Linked DNA regions of Xenopus tropicalis. The protein of the gene in region 2 purifies or fractionates together with the protein of the main gene of each other region. This does not show direct contact. Links are inferred from orthologs where the notes say so. Each region holds a gene or a part of one and is shown on either strand. Other genes may lie near its edges.

What was found.
Region 1: the proteins of marchf6 (region 2) and sqle purify together in Homo sapiens (affinity purification with western blotting; 4 studies listed by BioGRID and IntAct, with this or other methods). This does not show direct contact. The link is inferred for Xenopus tropicalis from reciprocal best matches to the Homo sapiens genes MARCHF6 and SQLE.
Region 3: the proteins of marchf6 (region 2) and plin2 purify together in Homo sapiens (affinity purification with western blotting; 3 studies listed by BioGRID). This does not show direct contact. The link is inferred for Xenopus tropicalis from reciprocal best matches to the Homo sapiens genes MARCHF6 and PLIN2.

The regions. Positions count from the first base shown.
Region 1 is NC_030682.2:143,391,889-143,395,358, reverse strand, and holds the end of sqle (squalene monooxygenase), read left to right. Parts: coding exon 1-132; intron 133-532; coding exon 533-629; intron 630-736; coding exon 737-824; intron 825-1,541; coding exon 1,542-1,734; 3' UTR 1,735-2,955; downstream 2,956-3,470. UniProt on the Homo sapiens protein: Catalyzes the stereospecific oxidation of squalene to (S)-2,3-epoxysqualene, and is considered to be a rate-limiting enzyme in steroid biosynthesis.
Region 2 is NC_030682.2:69,863,803-69,868,257, forward strand, and holds the start of marchf6 (E3 ubiquitin-protein ligase MARCH6), read left to right. Parts: upstream 1-1,536; 5' UTR 1,537-1,693; coding exon 1,694-1,712; intron 1,713-4,455. UniProt on the Homo sapiens protein: Endoplasmic reticulum membrane-associated E3 ubiquitin ligase that plays a critical role in mitigating endoplasmic reticulum stress, the regulation of cholesterol and lipid homeostasis, and ferroptosis.
Region 3 is NC_030677.2:119,024,501-119,026,921, forward strand, and holds the end of plin2 (perilipin-2), read left to right. Parts: coding exon of another isoform or gene 1-58; exon of another isoform or gene 59-398; intron 399-1,558; coding exon 1,559-1,690; 3' UTR 1,691-1,919; downstream 1,920-2,421. UniProt on the Homo sapiens protein: Structural component of lipid droplets, which is required for the formation and maintenance of lipid storage droplets.

The DNA.
Region 1 (3,470 bases), about 74 Mb from region 2:
TTGGGTGATGCTTACAACATGAGGCATCCGCTGACAGGCGGTGGGATGAGTGTGGTGCTGAATGACGTGATGATTTGGAGAGAACTTCTTCAGGACCTGCCTGACCTCTCCCAACATTCAGAAGTTTTACAGGTATGAATTACAGTTAGACACATTTACGGAATATTTATTGGACAGTTGATCATAAAGGAGCAAGTACTACTTGTTTTGCATTGAGTATGATGTTGTATCTAGACATTTCGAGATGGCATTCTCTTTGTATTGTAGACTTAGCTTGTGATGTGCAACTTGTACTATGCCACCTACCCACACCTAACAATGTAGAACCACCCTTACTCTGCTAGAGTATTGTTAAGTAGAGTATGCATTGCTATCCATCTATACAGCTATGTACAACAACATAGAGCTCAGATTTATAGCATTTAAGGGATGAAAAACTCCCAGTAAACTGCAACATATGCCACCCATTTAAAATATATACTAACTTCACTCATGATTATTTGTGCCTCACTCATACTCATATTATTCACAGGCCAAGAAGGTATTTTACTGGTCCAGGAAGAAGTCCCATTCTTTTGTGGTCAACGTGCTAGCCCAGGCACTGTATGAGCTGTTTGCTGCTACAGATGGTACGTATTGTCTATATAGGGGTTATTATGTTCCACAACAATCTTTTGAGTTGATGGTTGTAGCCTTGCTAAAGAGTTTGTGTACTAATAACACATTATCTACACAGATTCCTTGTACCAGCTGAGAAGAGCCTGCTTCAACTACTTCAAGCTTGGAGGAGAGTGTGTCGATGGTCCTGTTGCACTCTTGTCTGTGTACGTAAATATTCAGCAACATAAACCATTTGAGATATAATGGAGGATATGAAATGGGTTATTGTGGGACTACAATCAGGATTATATCATGTGACACAACTATAGTTACTCTTATACAATACTGTGGGTAGGGGGCGGAAATGCTGAGCTGTAGCAGGTGTCCACTTGGAGAGGACTGGGTAATGAAACATCTACTCTTAATGATTTAGCCTTCATTTCATATCAACTCATATGCCCCTCAGAGAGTCCCTTGACAGCACTGTGCTATGTTTCCTAAGGGAAGAAGGACCTGGAAGTGACTGCACATAGCAGATCTAAAGGTGCCCAAACACGGCCCATGTATGGGCACTACCGACGGGCCTGCCCGACCGATATCTGGCCTGAAATCGGCCAGATATCGATCGGGCTGGTTAAAAAATCTAGTCGGATCGGGTACCGCATCGGCTTGATGATGCGGTCCCCGAACCGACTTTGCCTATACCATCGTTATAATTTCCTTGAATTAGCCTGGATTCTCTTGGTATCGCTCACCCGTAGGTGGGGGATATCTGGAGAAGATCCGCTCACTTGGCGACATCGCCAAGCGAGCGGATCTGAAGGTGTATGGGCACCTTAACACTATTAAACAATAGACAGCTTCAAAATATTGCCCAGTGTTAAGGAAGGAAAGGAACGTTAATCTTCACGTGTACCAATCTTTTTATTTCTTCCCTGCAGGGTGTCTCCCAAACCTCTGCTGCTCATTGGCCATTTCTTTGCGGTGGCATTTTACGCCGTCTACTTCTGCTTCAAGAACGAGCCCTGGTTGACCAAGCCCAGAGCCTTGTTCAAAAGCACTGCCGTACTGTACCGTGCCTGCTCTGTGATATTCCCGCTTATATACTCTGAGATGAAGTATTTGGTTTACTGAAGCCACCGACGCTACTGTGAGATACCGAACATGCAGGATTCATGCTAAATCTGCTACATGGAACCCAATGGTGCAATTAGTCAGCTTCATCCTCACCGGTGACCTGACAGATAAATGCTATTCACGCTATTCCAATGGTTCATAGTGTTTAATCGTGACAAGAAGAATTATTACGAAGTACAGCATTTGCAGTTACTAATGGTAATTAATCAAAGTGGTCTACTTGCAATATGGGACTAAGAAGAAAATCTTTGGTGCATTTGTGTTGATAAGACTTTGGGCGGTATCAGTATCGAAACATATTCCCATTCCCACTATTTATCTGCTTTTATTCAAAAGCTGCTCTTGTAAGGGCTGCCAGCATCCTTAATAACAATGAAAGGAACATTTGGGGCTAGCTTTACCTGCAATAGCATCCCCTGTAAATTTCCCAGACTCCCCCTACTAAATAAATTCAGGCTACAAATATCTGACCGACATCCTTATATCTTTACTGGGCATACCCAGATGGAGTCATAGAATCATGGAGCTGATCTACAACCAATTAATTCTACTGACTCTGGTGAAGGGGATTGCCCATTGGACTGCTCATAGCAGATGGTCAAAGCACACACAGCATACTCTACTTGGCCGGAAACTCGGCACTGGCCTACTCTACTTGGCCGGGAACTCGGCACTGGCCTACTCTACTGGTCTGGGAACTCGGCACTGGCCTACTCTACTGGTCTGGGAACTCGGCACTGGCCTACTCTACGTGGCCGGGAACTCTGCACTGGCCTACTCTACGTGGCCGGGAACTCGGCACTGGCCTACTCTACTGGTCTGGGAACTCGGCACTGGCCTACTCTACTGGTCTGGGAACTCGGCACTACTCTACTTGTCTTTCAGAACACATTGGACCTTAACACTTTTGCTTGGGACACAGTGTGCCTACACACTCTCAGTTATCTCATGTTTTTCCTTTGGACTCTGTAAGAGAAACTATACAACAAAAATATTTGGGTTGGAAGGTCACATTCTAAAGTCACCTTAACTGGGCACTTATTGTACAGAACCGCACTCTCTGCTGTCACTTTGTGTTGCTGCTACTGCCAGTCAGATATTTAATTGTATCAAAAATAACTGACAAACATAGGCGCAAGGCCTTTAAAATATGAGAGAACACCAAAACCATGCAGACTGTGCCCTGGTCAGAACTGAACAAAGGACTTCAGAGCTTAAGATGAATGCTAACCACTGGGCCATTGTATTGCTCCACTTCTAACTTGCCTACCTGACTTATTTGAAGGGGTAGTTTATCTTTAAATGAACTTTTAGTATGGTCTATTCTGAGCAATTTTGATCTTCGTGTTCTATAATTATAGAATCATTTCTCTTCTGCCTGTATTCTAGCATTCAAATAAGGGTCATTGACCCTGGCAGACCAAAACACTATTGCTCCATAAGACTGCAGTTCAATAGTTACCTTTTATTACTATAATCTTTCTATTCAGGTCCTCTCATATTCATCTTCCAAGCTCTGGACACCCCTACAAGACCTAGAAACTAGATTGTTTCTGAAATTCCAGACTAGAAGAGTTATAACTATATATTTCAAAAAGAGAACACGTAAAACCATTTTTTAAAACCCATTCCAACTTGTCTAGAATAGCTTTTTCTACACCATACTGAAAGTTAAGATCAAGGCAAACTAACCCTTTGAAAAGCTCCTAGCAAGTGTACTATTTACGATATCA
Region 2 (4,455 bases):
ATGTGACAAAATGTGGAAAAGTTCAAGGGGGCCGAATACTTTTGCAAGCCACTGTATATTTCATCAAGAATACAGGCTCAAACAAGCACAACTGTCTTTGAAAAAAGTTCTGCTTTGTTTGAGCACTGTAAAGCTGGCCATACACGCACCGATAATATCGTACAAAACCTCGTTTCGTATGATATTCGGTGCATGTATGGCAAGTCGGCGAGGCGACCGATATCGCAGGAGGCTGCTGATATTGGTCGACTCACCGATCGGGTGAGTTAAAAAATTTTGAGCAGGCGCCCTAGAAGGCGCCTGAGCAAAATCTGCCTTCAGAGCTGAATCGGCAGAAGGAGGTAGAAATCCTTGTTTCTACCTCCATCTGCCGTTTCAGCCCTGAACGTTAGTGGCTGATTGGAACGATCTTTCGTGTGACCGGTGGTCGCACGAAAGATCGAAAATTGCCACGTGTGTGGCCACCTTAATGGTAAAGCTGAGCTCAGGAGAAAAAAATTGAAGCAGACAGCTAGAGCTGAATTTCTATGGGAACCAGCAATGCCATCTCTTTACTGGCTGCTAGACTGGAGGGCGTGTTTAGTAATCTGAGTTTAGAACAACTGAGCAGAAATCAAAGTAAATTCCTGAGGGGGGGGCAGAGTGGGTTACAGAAGGAGAAGGAAAGTATGGTGTGAAAGCAAGCTTTTTGTGACTTAAGGTAAACTTATGAAACTTATCACATAGGCGGCAAAATAAAAATGGGCATAATGCAAAAAAAGTGCGTAAACACTGAAAGGTTTAAAGGAGACATATCATATACAAATTATGAATGTACCAGTGAATTATACTCCTCTAAATATAGAAAGATTGTGCTTAAAACGTTGTGTTTCTGACTGATTTATTGAGAAATTCCACCAAAACCCCACTAGTCCCGCCTATCTGTCCCACTTTCTGCTGGCTGAATTCTCTGGATGAGCTGGGGGCCCTCCTTACACTGCACTGTAGGATAGGAACCAATCAGCAGCTAGGCTGACCTGATAGGGAACTGAAGCCTGTCTTTGCTTGTGTGAGTGCAGGGCTGTGATTGGCTCTCCCCCTCCTACTGTGCTTCTGGCAGGGACCATTAGGACACGCCCACTCTTCATTTCACACTTTACAGAGAAGTGATAGGATCTATAGGGAGCTCCAATAAAGGGGCCATTGTTACAGATAGGATTAATTTTTAGGACAAAGTGAAACCAGCACATTATATTATTTATAATTGCCTACAAAACTAGGGTTTTTCCCCATTTATCCAATGTCTCCTTTAATATACTAATGTAAATACATCCCCTAAATGTCACGTACCGCATAAAAACACAACCAGCCATAGCAGCCACTATTTCCTCCTTTTATACGTAGAAAATGACAAATATCACCCCTCTTCTGCAAAATATTTAATTAATACTTTTGTTAAACAGCCCTACAAGTCTAGCTCCGCGGTCGTCACTTGCGCACCTCCTCCTTCAGCAGGCATATTTACGTAACGTCACTTACTCGGTTCTCTTGTGAGGTCTGAGGACCAATAGCGATTCTTGTTTCCTTTGGTTGCTGGAGGAGGGGTTTCTGCACGTTCGATGTAGTTGCTGGGCCTGTACGGGTCTGGAGACGGGGGTGGAGTTCAACTGGAAACGAGCTTGGGACACGGAACCTGCGTCACAGGCCGGACAAGATGGAGACCGCCGAAGAAGGTAACGGAAGAGATTCTACTTGTATTATGTGTGGGCATATTTATAGCTGATCTCCCCTCATCGCGATAAGTATAACTAAAGATGTGTACTGCCGTAAAGCTTGCACCCCTGTGAGGTTTATTAAGTATTTGGCCCTTAGAATGTGTTTAGGATAATGACGTTTATTTGCATTCATTACATTTATTTCTTTGCAGTCACAGGAATGTTAATATCCTTAAAAGTCTAGGATGTTTGTTTTAATTTCTGCTGTGATGTTGAGTTTTGTAATTGCACTCTTAAGCGCACATCTTTCAAGAAGAAGACCTTCCATAACACACACACGTATTGGCCTTTTTCTGTAAATTATATAGATATGTATTATATGTCAGACCGACTTGTCAAGTGTACATTACACAGAGAGGAATCATGGGAGTTGTGGCATAACCTGCATGTGTAGAGTTGGGTGAATGTTGCTGGTGTAAAAAGAAAAACATGTAAAAAAAAAAAATCCTGCAGCCTAACTAGCAAATTGCTAGAATCCATTGGCATTTGTGATGTTTAAATTACAGTGATTTCATATGAGCTGCAAAATAGATTTGGCCAAATGCTAAATTGAATCCAAATTCTTATTTGCATATTTACATGTACAAAATTGTATTGCATGAAAAAATTGTCACGTTTGGCTGTCCAGTACTTTACAGATACCAGTATGAAGCAGCAGTTCCCTTCTCTGTATAGAAGCCTCTATTGATTAGATGCTGAAACAATGATGGTGGGTTCTGCTTTCAGCATTAATGAGGTTGGGCACTAGTGTTGTGTGATCAAGCACAACTTGTCAGTGTTTCACTTCATTATTAGTGTGGTTAAGGTTTGGTATCTGTGCAGGCCAGTTAGGTGCTTCTCCACTTGGCATAGGGGTATCATGTTGAAAGAGGAAAGACCTTTTTCAAACTGTGTTAACAAAATAAGGATGCACAGAATTTTCAACACTATTGTTACATATATACATATACATATATACTATTGTTTGCTAAAGCATTATGGTTGATTTTACGTTATTTATGGCCCTAACCTAAACCATGAACAGCCACCCCAGACCATTATTCCTCCTCCACCACCTAACATTATAGTTTTTATTGCGTTTTAGGTAGCATTTCTTCCAAAAACAGATGTATGTGGCAACTCAGTCTTAAAATTTGAATAAAAATTCCTTTGCATCATCTTTTTAATTAAATGAGGGTGAAAAGATTTCTTTAGTTGTCTCTATTTTGCCTTGTGGGAAATAACTCTTTGTTGATACTAGAATAGCAGTTGTTGTATGTATGTATGTATGTATATTTTTTATTTATAAAGTGCTACTTATGTACGCAGCGCTGTACAGTAGAATACATTAATACAAACAGAGGGTTAATAAGATAATAGATAAATACAAAGTATAACAATAAATACAAATAAATACAAGATACAGTTGCAATAAGTTAAGAGTCAAAGACACAAGAGGATGGAGGTCCCTGCCCCATAGAGCTTACAATCTAGATGGGAGGGTAACTTACAGACACAAATAGGCAAATATAAGTGCTGTAGGTCACAGTGGGTGACATTACAATGTAAGTGCTAGTTCCCTGGTCAGGTGCTGGGCAAGTGCTCCAAAAGGTAGTCTTTAAGTTTAGTTTTAAAAAGACTGGGGGAGGATTCTCTCCGGAGGAAATCAGGGAGGGCATTCCAAATGTAAGGGGCAGCAAGGCAGAAAGGTTTAAGGCGGGAAACAGCAGTAGTAGTGGGGGGTGCAACCAAACAATTGCTCTGCGAGGAACGAAGGAGTCGGCCAGGAACGTACGGAGACACAAGGGAAGAGATGTAGTGAGGAGCAGAGGAATGGAGGGCTTTGAAGGTTAAGAGAAGGAGTTTGTAAGATATTCTTTGTTTAATGGGAAGCCACGATAAGGACTTTAGCAGGGGAAGGGCCTGAACTCTACTGGATGAGAGGAGGAGAATTCTAGCAGCAGTATTTAATATAGACTGTAGGGGGGAAAGATGGGAGTTAGGGAGGCCGGTTAGTAGCAGATTACAGTAGTCCAGTCGGGATAGGATGAGAGCATGCATGAGCAGCCTAGCTGTTGCAGTAGAGAGAAAGGGACGGATTTTGGCAATATTGCGTAAGAAAAAGTGACAGGTTTTGACAGTGGAGTTAATGTGGTCAGAAAAGGAGAGACTGGAGTCAAAGATCTCCCCCAAACAATGCGCCGAATCGACAGGGTTGATGAGGGTGCCATTAATAGAGATAGAAAAGGGGGGGGGGGTAGGACCAGGCTTAGGTGGAAAGATCTTTAGTTCAGTTTTTGTTAGGTTCAGTTGTTCCTGGATTTTTATGTTGTTCTGGTTGTATTGGTTTTTAAATTTGTGATTTCTAGATTTTTAAAAATCTGAATAAACTCTATTTTATCAAACTTGAATTTTGCTTATTTATTAAAAAATACATTGATTTTGGATTTTATCTATCATTTTTAATGGGTCTACAAACTAGAGTCCTGCATCAGGATGGGTACTTGCAGAATACCTGCAAAGTGGTCAGGTCCCTGAACATGCTGCTGTTACGTGGGTACCCTCCTGAGATACCTGGGCTGATTGCAGGCTTTCATTCCCCCCCAACTCCCTGACTGTTGATTCGCCTTTAGTGTGACCTAACTTACACCCATTGGTGGAAGGCAAATCAGCCAGGTCAGGGAGTTGGAGTTGAATGCAAGCCTGCAATGCCCAGGCTTGC
Region 3 (2,421 bases), on a different chromosome or scaffold from region 2:
TGGCTGTCCACATGGTGAGCAAGAAGGGGATGAGACAGAGAAAACCAACAAAGATTAAAGACTGACTTGACTACATTTAAGTCTTTAAGCCACAATCTGCACTTTTTATTCACAGATGAACTGTAATGTATATTGTTGGTTAAAGCACTGCTCAAACTCCAGTAAGGCTTATACTAACACTTTTGGTACCCTGTGTTTAAAGCTTAATTTTATTGAGGCACAAGGTTAATACTGCATTAGCCCATTCACAATGTTTTGATTAGTCTGCCAATAACATACTACCACTTTTTTCACAATTATTTAATGCAAAGTGGAGTTTCACAGTAGACACCTCACTGTACCAGTCTTATGAGCCTTTTTGTATATTTTTGTATTTGCAATAAATAATTAAGCATTAAGTGTCTCTAGCGTGTTTTCCTCTGATAAATACCAAACATAATGGTGGTACCAACAAACTAGTGGTGGGATTGAGCTTCTCTTGCATTCAAAAAAAAAAAATTAAAATGGCTTGGTGATATAACCGTTTCATACAATACACTGTTTAAAGCATTTGTGAAGCTAATGCTGTTTATAAATAGCAGCCATTATCTAAGATATCCCTTTCACAAAATGCAAAAGTCCCCCTCATTACCATTTCTTAACTCTGAAGGGAGTCTTGTGACCTATACACCAGGAGTTTATTAATCTTCGAGTAAATTCCTTTAAACTGAGGTTACCAGATTAATCTAATTTGCCAGCACGGATTGTGTTGTGAGTTAATCCATTTTCAGTCCAATATATGAATGCTATAATTGTCACTGAGCATGAACATGTATGCATGTATGAAGAGCCTCTGTAGACAAAAGCTTCCTGCTCTCTGTGCACTCTAATACATCAGATCAAAATGTCTTTACAACATTAGCTAGCTTCCTTTTTGTAATGGCACACAACAGGCTAAAATAGATTCAGATATATTTTGTGTGAACTCAACTAGTTTGCCAGCAGCTTATGGGGGTTGACAATTCAGGAAGAAATTGAGCTTAGGCCCTTAGATTCCAAGACCTTGAATATGGACTACCAGTGCTAATGCAGCATTAAACTTGCCAATATTGTTATTGTTAGGACATATGCGTAACTCTATCATGAAACTGTTCATGTTTCATGCTTCCTATGGGTTTTAGTTCTAACTGCACAGACACCAGTTATTGGTGAGTTAAATGGCTTGGGCTGAATAGACAAAACTGTCTACAGGCAATGAATTTCTTCCAAGCAATAGCTACAATATGAACAGTAGCTTTAAGTGCCTCCTGGTCTAACATGATTTTTTTTTTTTTTTTTTTACTACCAGCTTGGGTTTGTAAACATCTCAAACTATCCTCCAAAACCATTAACAACCTGATAAGTGTCCATAATAGGGTACAGGTTTCTAAGAGGACACAAAGTGGCTTAGTATTTAGTTATTAATATAAAATTCAATTACATGGTATAATTAAACAATCTTTGTTCTGTCGTACTTTATATTGCTCCACATCTAACTACTGGTTAGAAACTAAATAAATCTCTTTTCACTTTTGATTAGGTTCCTGATTTCAGCATCACTGACCTATCATCAGAAATTGATGAAAATCCAGATGCTTTGGAAGAAGATGAAATGGAAATGCAAGACTTTTCCCGCTTGAATGGCAGAGTAGTAAACCGGGAAACAAATTAGTACAGACTGCTTATTTCTTCCTTCTCTCTTCCCCCAACTTGTGTTTGACCTAGAACTACACCAAATCATTTTGTTACTGCATATTTAACCAGTTTTTGTTCTTCTAAGCACCGTGTTAGTGACACAATTGTGGCATTAGGTGTCTATAAAAGCTTTCTTTGCATTTGTTAACTTAATAAACAATGTTTAACTTTAATGCACATACTGGTCATAAAACCAATAAGCAATCTAACTACCAGCCTACTTGAGTCTCCCTGATGCAGTCACTTCTGTATTATGCCTATGTACCTAAACTAGTAATGATACAGGCAAGTATGCTTGTTAATAACCGTAAATTACCTGCCTAACTGCTAGAGAGGCTATAGAAGGGGTTTTTTTTTTTTTTTGTTTTTTTTTTGGCCTTCCTCTGGATCAAATTTGCCACAGAGGGGGGAAAAATTCATCCTTGACTCAGATAAAAATCTGACCAGTCCCTGGATCAACTTGGACCAGTTAACTTTATAACCAGCTTAAATTCAAAACAGAAGTGACCCATATGAAACATTAACACATTATTGTACTCAATGTCTTTAGCTATAGAAGCAACAAAATCTGAGGGATTTGAATCTGGAAAACTGCCCAGCTACTATGTCAGATTGGGTTCCCTTTCTACTAAAGCTCGCAAGCGTGCTTATCAGCAAGCTTTGACTAGAATCGGTGATGCAAAAAACAGGAGCCAGGAGGCAATTTCT